3 linked regions of the Mytilus edulis genome follow. The protein of the gene in region 3 interacts with the protein of the main gene of each other region in a pairwise test. Links are inferred from orthologs where the notes say so. Each region holds a gene or a part of one and is shown on either strand. Other genes may lie near its edges.

Region 1 (3,764 bases), on a different chromosome or scaffold from region 3:
GAAATCAGACAAAAACCCATTGTCAATAATGGCAAAATCAAAAATAATACAAAATAGAACTTAAATTGAATTCTAACAAAGATTCAAAATATAAATGTGGACATTTCATTATCACTGGACTAGTATATATTTGTTTAGGGGCCAGCTGAAGGACGCCTCCGGGTGCGGGAATTTCTCGCTACATTGAAGACCTGTTGGTGACCCTCTGCTGTTGTTTTTTATTTGGGCGGGTTGTTGTCTCTTTGACACATTCCCCATTTCCATTCTCAATTTTATTTCACTTCTATCAATACCATTCGCTAAAACAAATCTTTTTTTATTATTTCCAATTTGCATATATCCATTAATTTTGCTGATTATGGACCTACATGTACAATAACAACAATACTTTATTTTAAGACTTTAAGGGTTACACAGTTAGCTATAAAACTAATCTTTCCTGAGGCCCTCACCATAGAAAGGCATATACAAAAATGCAAACATATACATGGCATAAATTTGTATAAAAGTCAAGTACAATGTATGATGATAATGTTCAATACAACTTGATAAAAAAAAATGTTATAAAAAAGTAAACATGGTGAAGTTATCATAAAATTTCATATAAATCCTACAAGAAATGTGAGATTGCTTTCAATGCAATTTTTCGATATAAATTACATTTAAAACAGACTTAATATATTCCTGGCAAAAAAACGACTGGCACTGAAAATAAAGCATTTTGTGTTATTGAAAATTCAACTTTTTATGAAGACAGCTGATACCAGATTTGATGTTGTGCGGGTACTCCTGTGAATGCCCTTGTTCCAATTGTTATTGTTCCGTCAAAGTGTTTTGTTGTAGGTGATGTTATCTAACGTCATTTGTGCATTTGTTGGGCATAAAATATACAAATGTCATGATCAGTACATTGTACATGTACACTGAGGTAAGGAATGAATATGCAAAATTTTATATGTTGATAAATTTCATATGTCTCGGACTGCTTTGATAACTGTTTTTAAAGATAAAATTAATCTACTTCTTATGATAGGGTTGAATCTGTACATAAGAATAAAGACAGGGGTTTGAAAAATGTCAAGCAGTTATTTTAAATAGCACTAATACTATTTTGTCTGTGACTTCCAGATATTTCTGCTCTATTAAATAGTCATTGAAATATAGCTCTGACCAATAACAAAGTAATTGACAACTTTCGAGTTCGATGCATTTCCGTCAAAAACTCTGGTTTTAGTGAACATCATTTGTGCGTTTAGGGGCGTCGTCACTTCCATTCCAATGTTGAGCGAGTGGTTGGATAATTCTATATTCATTTATGTACGAATTATTCATAATTTGGCAAATTGAATTCTCAAAATTGAAAATCAGCACTGCTGTCATTAGGGAATTGTCATTAAGTACCTACAGAACAACCATTATTTCTAGTTTATCCTGTACAATGACGATCACTAAGACGCTTGATGAACGTAAATAGTGCAGGGATACAGGCGATCCCCTCTATCTGGTTAATGACGTCATAAAGGCGAGCATAATAGGGCTCTTCACGGTTAGTTCGGCCATATTGGATAGGGGGCAGATTTTTTGGAAGGAGGTGGAAATGGTATGAAAGTGTGGGAAATCCTATGTGTGTTTCCAAGCAACAGCTCTGTTTTAATGATGTTTTCCCGTATTTTTCACACCATTTTTACCTCTATTATGAAAATCTGCCCCCTATCCAATATGGCCGAACTAACCGTAAAGAGCACTATTGACCAGTTTTTTCCGGTGACGGATGAACTTGAAAGTGGTCTATTGTTTTTCAAAATTTGGTTTTAACAAGAGAAGAAATAATTCATCACAAATTCATGCAGTTACATTTTTTTAATAAATATTGTGACAAGGGAGATAAATCTATCAGTTGTTTTAATCAAGGATTTGTATAGGATTAGATCAAATCCTTGTTTTATTTTTGGTAATTCTTGCCATTCTTTCTTATCCCTTTTAACTAAGAGAATTTTACTAATTTCGAAAAATTATATATTCACCATATCTTGCGTATGTTTGTGTGTTCAACTATAGAGTATTGCGTCTACCCAAATCTGAAAATAAAGTGCCACTCACTGAAAATTTACTGGCTGTCGCCTGTACACTTAATGCAACACGCTTCTTCTTGTCTAGCTTATCTTTAAATTAAAAAGTAATATCTTATAAGAGGTCGAAGTTTAATTCTCTGTGTTTTAGTTAAACTATTTAGTCATTTGTAAAAGTTTTCCACCAATGTTTACAAATCTAAAATCAGACGTCCCGCCACAATAATACGTCATTTCCTCTTTCTTTAAAACTAACTACCAAAAATACAATATAGACCAAAACGGCTGGTAGATTTGTCTCCCTTGTCACAATATTTATTTTAAAAACTGAGTCACCACATTTTGAAAAACAGAGTTTTTGACTTGCACACGAAAGGCTACATCGATCATGAAACGCAAGTGACCGCAAATGATACTTCTATATTTACTAGAGTAAAAGAGGGACGAAAGATACCAAAGATATCAAACCAGAGACATATATACACATGTGTATATATGTCTCTGATCAAACTCATAAATCGAAAATAAAATGACAACTCCACGGCTAAAAATGAAAAAGACAAACAGACAAACAATAGTACACATGACACAACATAGAAAACTAAAGAATAAGCAACACGAACCCCACCAAAAACAAAAAGTGTTGTAAGAAAATGTTAAGGTGGTATGGGAGTCTAAATTAAAAATGATAGAATAAATTTGTTCATATACTTTGCCAAAACGTAGTATATATATATTGACATATATTCAAAAATATTGTGAAAATGATAGTTTATCACGATTTCTTCAGGCTACAGGTTGTGACAAAATGACACATTTTTTTTCACAGATTAAACAGGAAAAAAATCATTATGTGATTATAGGAGCTGAACTGAATGATAACTAAAATTGTAAAATAAAATACGAGAAGATAGCTTTAAGGAAATGCTTTGATGATATCAAAAGAAAAGATTGGGTCACCGTGCGTTTTTTTCCAGTTAAAATACAAACTAGCACGTTTCATGTAGATTCCTTCAGAAAATGCACTATTTCAGAGTTATCTCCCATTAAAATGCTAATTTAAAAACATAAAAAAATCAAGCAAACTGAAATAATCTGCACTTGTAAAAGTATTAATAATTACAGAGACATATAATATAGTATTATGTGTCTCTGATAATTATAAGTTTTAATCTTATAAAGGAGTAGGTCCGGTAAGGACCGATTTTGGCCTTCAAATTTCAGGTTCATCTGACGAAAGATTTTGACCACTTTTTAAACACTTTTAAAATGTCTATTTTATTTGAATTATTTAGTTTATGTGAAAGATTTTAACAGATTTAGTCATTAAAAACGATCCGATTCAAGCTCAAATATGAAAAATCTACCTAATATGCCGAAAAATGTCACTTTTCAGATGGTTTTTGGTAAAAATGAAAGTGGCCGCATCCGTGTTCATCCTCAACCTTTATATATGTTATGTATTATCATAAAATACAACTAACATTTCAATATTAAGGATGAACACGAATGCGGCCACTTTCGTTTTACACGAAAACCGTCTAAAATTTAACTAAAATGCTAGAATTATGAGGATTTCAGTAATTTAGCATGACTTAATGGTGCTAGTACCGGATATATGTGCATTGTATTGTCAAAAACGGCCCATATTTATGTAGCAGAAGCATTCTACTGTTCAATAAATAACTAAAGGTT
Region 2 (3,764 bases), on a different chromosome or scaffold from region 3:
CATATTGTTTTGTTAATGATTTTTAAGTGTTGAATGTTTGTGAAGAGTATTGAAGCTAAAGATAAATGCTATTGTTAGTTTAACTTAATTTAAAAAAAAATTAATGTAAAAAAAGCAAATTTAACCGAATTATAGAAATGAATGAAAATCATTTGATTTCATATTTTTTAAGAAAAAGATGTTTATATAAAATTATTTTACCATTTTTATTCGCTTCAACATATAAAAATAAAATAAATTTATAATCATTATTTTACAGGCGAGTTAAAAAATATACTTGAAACAGAAATCTTTTTTTGTAATCTGCAAATAATAAAGGAAAGAATATTGTTCCTCACAAAGTAAAAGATTTTTTATTTTTTCAACAATAAAGTCTTTTTTTTAGAAGCGTTCTATTTATATAATTTTTGTAGCAAAATCGAGATATTTCATTATAGAATATTTTTGTGATTTGTATACATATTTGTGTTTCCCTAACTATGATACATGATTTAAGAACTACAAACTGTGTGTGCTAAGCCGTCGGATACTAATACTGCTCCCAGTTAATATTTCTCTAAAATATGGATATGATTATCTTATGATTAATCCAGTTATTTCCGAATACATTACAGATAAAGATTTAATATTTTCCTTCAGGCCGATAATCCGTTTATCTTCAAAAAGCATCATGTGTTTTGAAAATGACAACTGTCAATTTCATGCCTGGTAAATTTCACACAATGTAATAAAATAAAAACAAGCAAAATTTTTATCCATTTTATACTATCAAAAATGTCTGAAGGGTTAAATATTATTAATACATTTTCAATACACGGATTTAAGATTGAGTACACTGGGCGCCGTGAAGGCCCGTTAAATTATTGTGACTTATAAAGTAAAACCTAACTAGCTATTACTCCAGCAATCATAACTCTACAATGAGAGGAAATAATAAATATAGAAATAGATACAGAAAATAAAGTTTACATTTTATATTTGTTATATATTGTGTTTACATAAGGATGTCCATTCCAGAACTTAAGTCGCTGTAGGAAGAACTAGGTACTCACGAATTACATACATAAACTGTCGTTAAATAGTAGGAGAACATGCAACAAAATGTTGAGAAATATCTTTGACCGACTGTTTAAAGATTAGTGTGACATAACTCTATGGTGAATTGGATATATAGATTAAAATATAATCTGTAAAATATATTATTTATTGCATACAATATCCAGTTTACGATGGTATAATTGTTGTTTATTTTTTTTATCTTAGAATCCTTCAAAACCTCAAATCAAAATGTGAAATGTTTTAGATACACGTGTTGGTATGTAACTTGCGTGAAAGTTTATTATTTTATTTTTCTCTCTATTTCCAAAATCAGCATCTTCAATCCGGACTGTTGGTCAGTCTGTTGGTTAAATTGTTAGTTTTTCCTTACATAGACCACAGTCAGAAGAAAAATATATGTCGTATCATCGTAAACAATACAACATCGGTCAGTATGGAATGTTTGTAAAAAAAAACATAAATAATTGTCAAAAATAATTTCCTAATGTCCCACAAATAACTAAAAATTATGCATCCTTTATATGCACGATATAACTTTGAAACGCAGAGAGGAGATGAAAACAAAAAGAATGAGTTATCTAAATGTTAAATGAAAAATGACCAAGTAGAAAGGGGGAGGATGCTATTTTCCAAAATTTTAAACAATTATTACAATTGACTTACCTGAAAATTTTGAAAAATTTTGTAGTTAATTGTCTAGTTTCCACAATGGTTGTCCCATTCACGCATCAATTACAAATTGTGTCCCTCCGCTGAAGATAACTTATTAGATTTTTCACGATTCAGTGATAACGTCTTGTTTGGTAAATTCCTCTGGACAGTTAACACACGTGCATTTAGTTTTCAAAACATAACTAGTAATTGTCAATGGCGACTGCTTACATATGCTTTTAAAATGTTATAAAATGTCTGGGTTAAAATTCCTACTTTTGTCGAGCGAAAAGAAACAGTATATGCGAAGTTACTGCTATATAATGTTATAAATCTGCAATCATTCTTTAACGAATATTTCAGGGCCGATTGCTTTTTCCACTACTTTGGTACGTTATAACGCCTGATTTAAAACTGCCACCTCTGTAGAGAAGTTCTTTTTAGCCATGAATTCACATATTTATTAAATCATGAAAAATAGGTGGAGCTTGAATAATTTCAACCAATCATTTTACGACTTCTACAACTATGTTAAGCTTGAGCAATCAGAAGTGTTTAAATCAAAATAAGATTTATGAAAAGATGAAATTATAAAATATAATATTGCTATCGGATTGAATTATTAAAATACATTATATCCAATTGGGCGGTCTAGTGAGAAAATACAAGATGCTGAGATTGGCTTGCTACGTGATAATGAGAGAATCGAATTTGTAGTAGCCCAATCATAAACATCCATTGCTTTTAAACTTCTTAAATGTATTTTAAACAAAAAACGAAGATTATTTTTGGAATTGATGAATTGATTTTTGGATTAAATAATTTTCTGATCGAATGTAATTAATTTCGTCATTAAATACCTGTAAGTCTTTGATGGTTGTCTTTATTAATTGACGTATTTTTCTTTTGTTTCATCGTTATTTATTATTAAATTGCATGTTTTCGTTGTAAGATTAATATTTTTTTCTTTTTATCAACTTCTATTTTAATTAAAATAATTTGAAACACGTAGACTAATTTATTAATGTGTACGAATTTTCCATCAATTTCATTTTAGTTTCCGATAAACATAAAATAAAAGAAAAGAATTATGAACACAAAATAATGTGTATTTTAAAATTGGAAATTTGGCAGTGACGTACATGTTTTAATATTTATAAACAATACATCAAATATCATCTAGTTTTAAAATTCATTTGAATTTGATAATTGTGCATATATTTATTTGAATATGTTCACACGTCCAAAACGTTTGTGAATTGTATGATATATTATTTTGTGTGATATTGCTGTAATTTGTGCATTTAAAAATATTTTTGTGAGACAAAGTAAATAGAAAACATCATAATATGAAGCTTGTAATTTATATAAAGAAAGAATAAGTGCAAACATATAGATATATTGTTTTAAAAATTTATTCTCTCGCAACATTTTCTTCAACTATTAATAACATTTTATATTTTCGTCGATTTATCGCGCTTAATAAGTCATCATAAGTTCTGAAATGTTTAACAATGATTTATTAATTAACATATCTGTATTGAAAAACTTATTTTTGTTCTTTTATCTAGTCATTATACCGTTTTCCCAAAAGAAATGAGACATAGAATGTGTAACCTCTCAAAGGAAATAAATATAAAAAAGAAATAAATAAACTAGAGGTAAAATAATTAAATCATTAAAAAGCACAATAGCATGAAATAAAATTCTAAATATAGAAAAGCGAAATGAAGTGTTCTACAATCAAACTTTTATATTTTTTGTATTGTCAAGTTTGTCAGAGGAAAGTAAGAATCGGAAACAAACATGGAATGAATTAATTTAGCCTTGATTTTTAAACGTTAAATATTATACATTATAGATAGAACAAGAATTGTTTTTTGGATACCTATGTGTCCTCAGCATAAGGTTTTAATCTAGAGAACTTTATACATATAAATATACTTCATTTTCTATTTTCTTTAACACCAAAAGCGTGCATATTCTTCTATTCAACCAGGAAAATTCTAAAGAAAACACGAATATTATCTGTTTGGAAATTTTACTGCAAACTT
Region 3 (3,764 bases):
AATGGACATAACTGAAGAACAGTAAAAGTGACACTACCCAAATGTGGAAATAAGTATTGTGTATAAGTTTCATAACAGTTAGTTGAGGCAAACTTAAGTTAGAGAACAGAAATGAAAAATTCAGGAATTTGTATAGGGCATACATGTAACTCTTTAACAGTAAAAGTGATGCCACCCAAATTCAAACTTGATCTGTGTTTTGTGGTAACAAGCATTTCTTGTTTGAATTGTTTTACATTTGTCATTTTGGGTCCCTTTATAACTGACTATGGGGTATAGGCTATGCTCATTATGCTCATTGTTGACAGCCATATTATAGTTGTTAATTTCCGAGTCATTTGGTCTCTTGTGGAGAGTTGTCTCATTGGCAATCATACCACATTGTCTTTTTTATATTGTGCATAAGTTAAATATCCTATTTGATTTAGGGAAACTAAAGTTAAAGAATGGAATAGATAAATTCAGCATTTTTATCATATGTAAAGGTACACAACTCTAGAAATATTCAAGTGACACCACCAAAATTCAAACAATAAACATTGTGTAGACTGTAGAAGTTTCATAACATTTGGTAGAGGCAACCTAAAGCTAGCTAAAGGAAATCAATTTTGGGACATACAGACGGACAAGGGTAAAACTTAATGCCCGCTTCGCTATGGCAGGGGCATAAAAAATTTTGAATGGTGGCATCAGACATACATGTATTCTAAGTAACCTCAAAATCTTACGGGAATGTATGTGATGACTAGTTATTCACTGGGGGAAATCGGCTGTTTGTACTCTGTTACGAACCGCCCAATTTGGCAGATGGCAGTATCTGTAAGATTTTATATTTCTCAAATACTTTTGATCCAAAGCATTGACAATAGAGAAAATTAGCAATTGTCTAACCCGAATAATTCAGTCATTGTATTCTGCTTACTACATTAACGCCTGAATGCATAGACAATGAAAAATCTTCAATCAACCATTCGGAATTAGCTCGGGATTTACTTATCTCAACAAAATTTAGCTAATAGCTGATTGGTCACCTCAACTACAGGGCACAATTCAAAATCCAGGATTCATGAAGTTTTTATCGTGTTAGGAATTCAGGCCCTCGCAAGTAGGAAAGATCAATTACGGGGAGGGACTGTTGAAGGCCGTACATTGACCTATAATGGTTTACTTTTATAAATTGTTATTTGGATAGAGAGTTGTCTCATTGGCACTCACACCACATCTTCCTATCTCTCATCTATCTATATAAAGATACCAGAGAGAGATACCTATTGACTGTTTGGAAAGCTGCCTTGAAGTTCTCGACTGTATTTGTGCGGTTTTCAACTTAAAATAATTGAATGCTACATGTAATTGACTGGTACTCAAATATATTCTTATACTTCACTTATACCTGTTGTCATCCATCATCGATACTTTTTTAGACTGATAAAATTTATCACCAAACCCTCCAAAGTCAATATAGTTTATTCCATATTTAATTTTTGGGAGGGATCTTCGTAGGGCCGGATCGAATTGGGCCGGATCAACTTAACAGGGATAGAACTTAAGACTTTGGCAATGGTAGCCCACAGCTTAAATTTTGTGGTCCACATATATAGTTCTATACAAGAAAAGCAAAAATTTAAGTAGCCCAAACAAAATTTTAGGGGCCATTGGCCTGTGGGCCCCTGCTAATTTCATCCCCTGTGACTATGGGCCGGATCATTTTGGGGCCATACCGACCGGATACCTTAGTTCCAATCTATTTTGTTCTTAACAAAGACAGATTTCTTATATACACGACATGTAGATTGTATTATATGAAGAGGAACATGTTTCAGGTGTATGACATCAAGAAATAAAGCTGGGTTACTTTTGAGGTTTTAAGCTTCAAACCAATTTCAGACAACTAAATAAGTTACATTTCCTCACAAAACTCCTTCATGCATGACCATGTTACTTCTGGCTGCCTTCAAAAGGAATTGTTTTCAATTATAAATTTGAGCAAATGCAATGCATTACAAGAACACTTTTTCTCTAGTAAAATGAATATGAGGTTCGTTTGCCTGTAGAGTTTTTTGTAAATTATTTCAAGAGATAAAGTAAATCTTCTTATAAATCTCGAGTGGAGATATGAGTCATGTCCTATAAAGGGTTCACAAACTTACCAGTCGGATCTGTAAATATAGAAGGATTTCCGGGTGATGGTCGAGACTGATCTTTTGTTTTACTCTTAGGTTTACTTGAGCTACTACTTTTTCCTTCTTTTCCTTGTTGTGCGCCCATTCTTCATTTGAACAAAATAAAGGGTGTATATTAGCCCCCTACACCGCTCATGGCACTACAAATGCTACGCTACATTATTTGTACTTTTAGGTCATGCTATTATATACTCAGGAAACATTATCGATAATTGCATAAGGGTTTTATAGTCAAAATTAATCAGATTTGTATATCATTTCCTTCCCTTTTCGGTGGCCGCCATATTGTCTAATTCCAGAACGAGTCTATTTTTCCGAATGAGGTGACCTCATCACGAAAATGACGTAGCATCGCAAATTTCGGGAAACCCCTTCTAAAAATAAATTTGACGAAAAAAGAGATAATTTACCAAATATGGTAACTAATCAAATCATGGTTTGACCGAGATAAAAGTCGATGTCAGTGTACCAGACAAAATAATCTGATATTTTATTCTTAGGAAGCGTTAAAGAATAGAGAAAACTGGTATATATATGAACAAAATATAAAAACCGTAGACCCAGGTAGCACAAAAACATTTTATTGATATTTTTAAAATATCTTGCAAAATATCACCAAAATATCATTCAAAAACATGTTTTTGACGTGATATGTCTGGCTGTACTCATGTGAATAGCATATTTTCTGGAAATATTTGTTCTGAATGTTTAAAGAGCATTATTTTTAAATATCTTGATTTTATATTGAAATAACATAATTTTGATATAATTCAGTTTCAATTGAAAATATCCAGACAACATCTTTCAAACATCAGGACAAAATATTCTTCTAATGTCTAGGATATGTTTTATTGATGTCTACTTAATGGTTTTTTTTAAATACAGTCTGTCAACCTTATTCTCATTTTAATAAAAGTTAAGGCATTGGATTGAATGATTATAAGTCAATTCATAAATTCTACTGGTTAATATTATAATAGAGTAGGAAAATTCACTCGTGTAATGATGTGTTGATTTACAAGAAATTGAAAAAATGAAAGTATATTCAAATTGTATTTGTTGTTTTGTGCTGGTTTTAAATATTTTTTGTTTGTGCATAAAATTATTCAGATATTTAAATGACTACACAGATTTGAAAATGTTAGATAAAGAGAAGGAAGAGCACATTTTTTGTTAGAACATTGGAATAATATAATTTTCAAGTATGTGGTACAAAGGGGGTGAGATAAGTACCTAATACGTTGGCATATTGTTGGCACAATGTTGGCTTATATTTCTTTATTGGCATGAAATATCAATCATATTTTTTATAAACACTGTTTAAAAAACTTTGAATTAGGCAAAATAGAAAGAATTTTCTAGTTCTAGGCACAGATTATCGTAGTCCTATTTGGTATGACTTTATCATTTTGATTTTTTACTGGGTCCTCAATGGGGATTATGCTCTTAGAACACAATCGTTATTCGCTAGATAATTTTTCTTTTGACTTGATTTGAATTTTCATTTAAGTTAGATTAGAATTGTGAGGCAAAATAATTGAGCCGAGCGAAGCGAGTCGAAATTTTTTTTTGGAGGGTATG

What was found.
Region 1: the proteins of tyrosine-protein kinase Abl-like (region 3) and DNA repair protein RAD51 homolog 1 interact in a two-hybrid assay, tested with the Caenorhabditis elegans proteins (2 studies listed by BioGRID). The link is inferred for Mytilus edulis from reciprocal best matches to the Caenorhabditis elegans genes abl-1 and rad-51.
Region 2: the proteins of tyrosine-protein kinase Abl-like (region 3) and paired box protein Pax-6-like interact in binary tests that used the Caenorhabditis elegans proteins (3 or more experiments, as listed by UniProt). The link is inferred for Mytilus edulis from reciprocal best matches to the Caenorhabditis elegans genes abl-1 and vab-3.

What each region holds. Positions count from the first base shown.
Region 1 is NC_092346.1:57,670,690-57,674,453, reverse strand, and holds the start of DNA repair protein RAD51 homolog 1, read right to left. Parts: upstream 2,309-3,764; 5' UTR 2,101-2,308; intron 1-2,100.
Region 2 is NC_092350.1:1,506,986-1,510,749, forward strand, and holds the start of paired box protein Pax-6-like, read right to left. Parts: upstream 2,173-3,764; 5' UTR 1,723-2,172; intron 1-1,722.
Region 3 is NC_092345.1:30,626,984-30,630,747, forward strand, and holds the start of tyrosine-protein kinase Abl-like, read right to left. Parts: upstream 2,504-3,764; 5' UTR 2,269-2,503; coding exon 2,151-2,268; intron 1-2,150. UniProt on the Caenorhabditis elegans protein: Functions downstream of migratory protein mig-13 and is involved in Q neuroblast migration during larval development.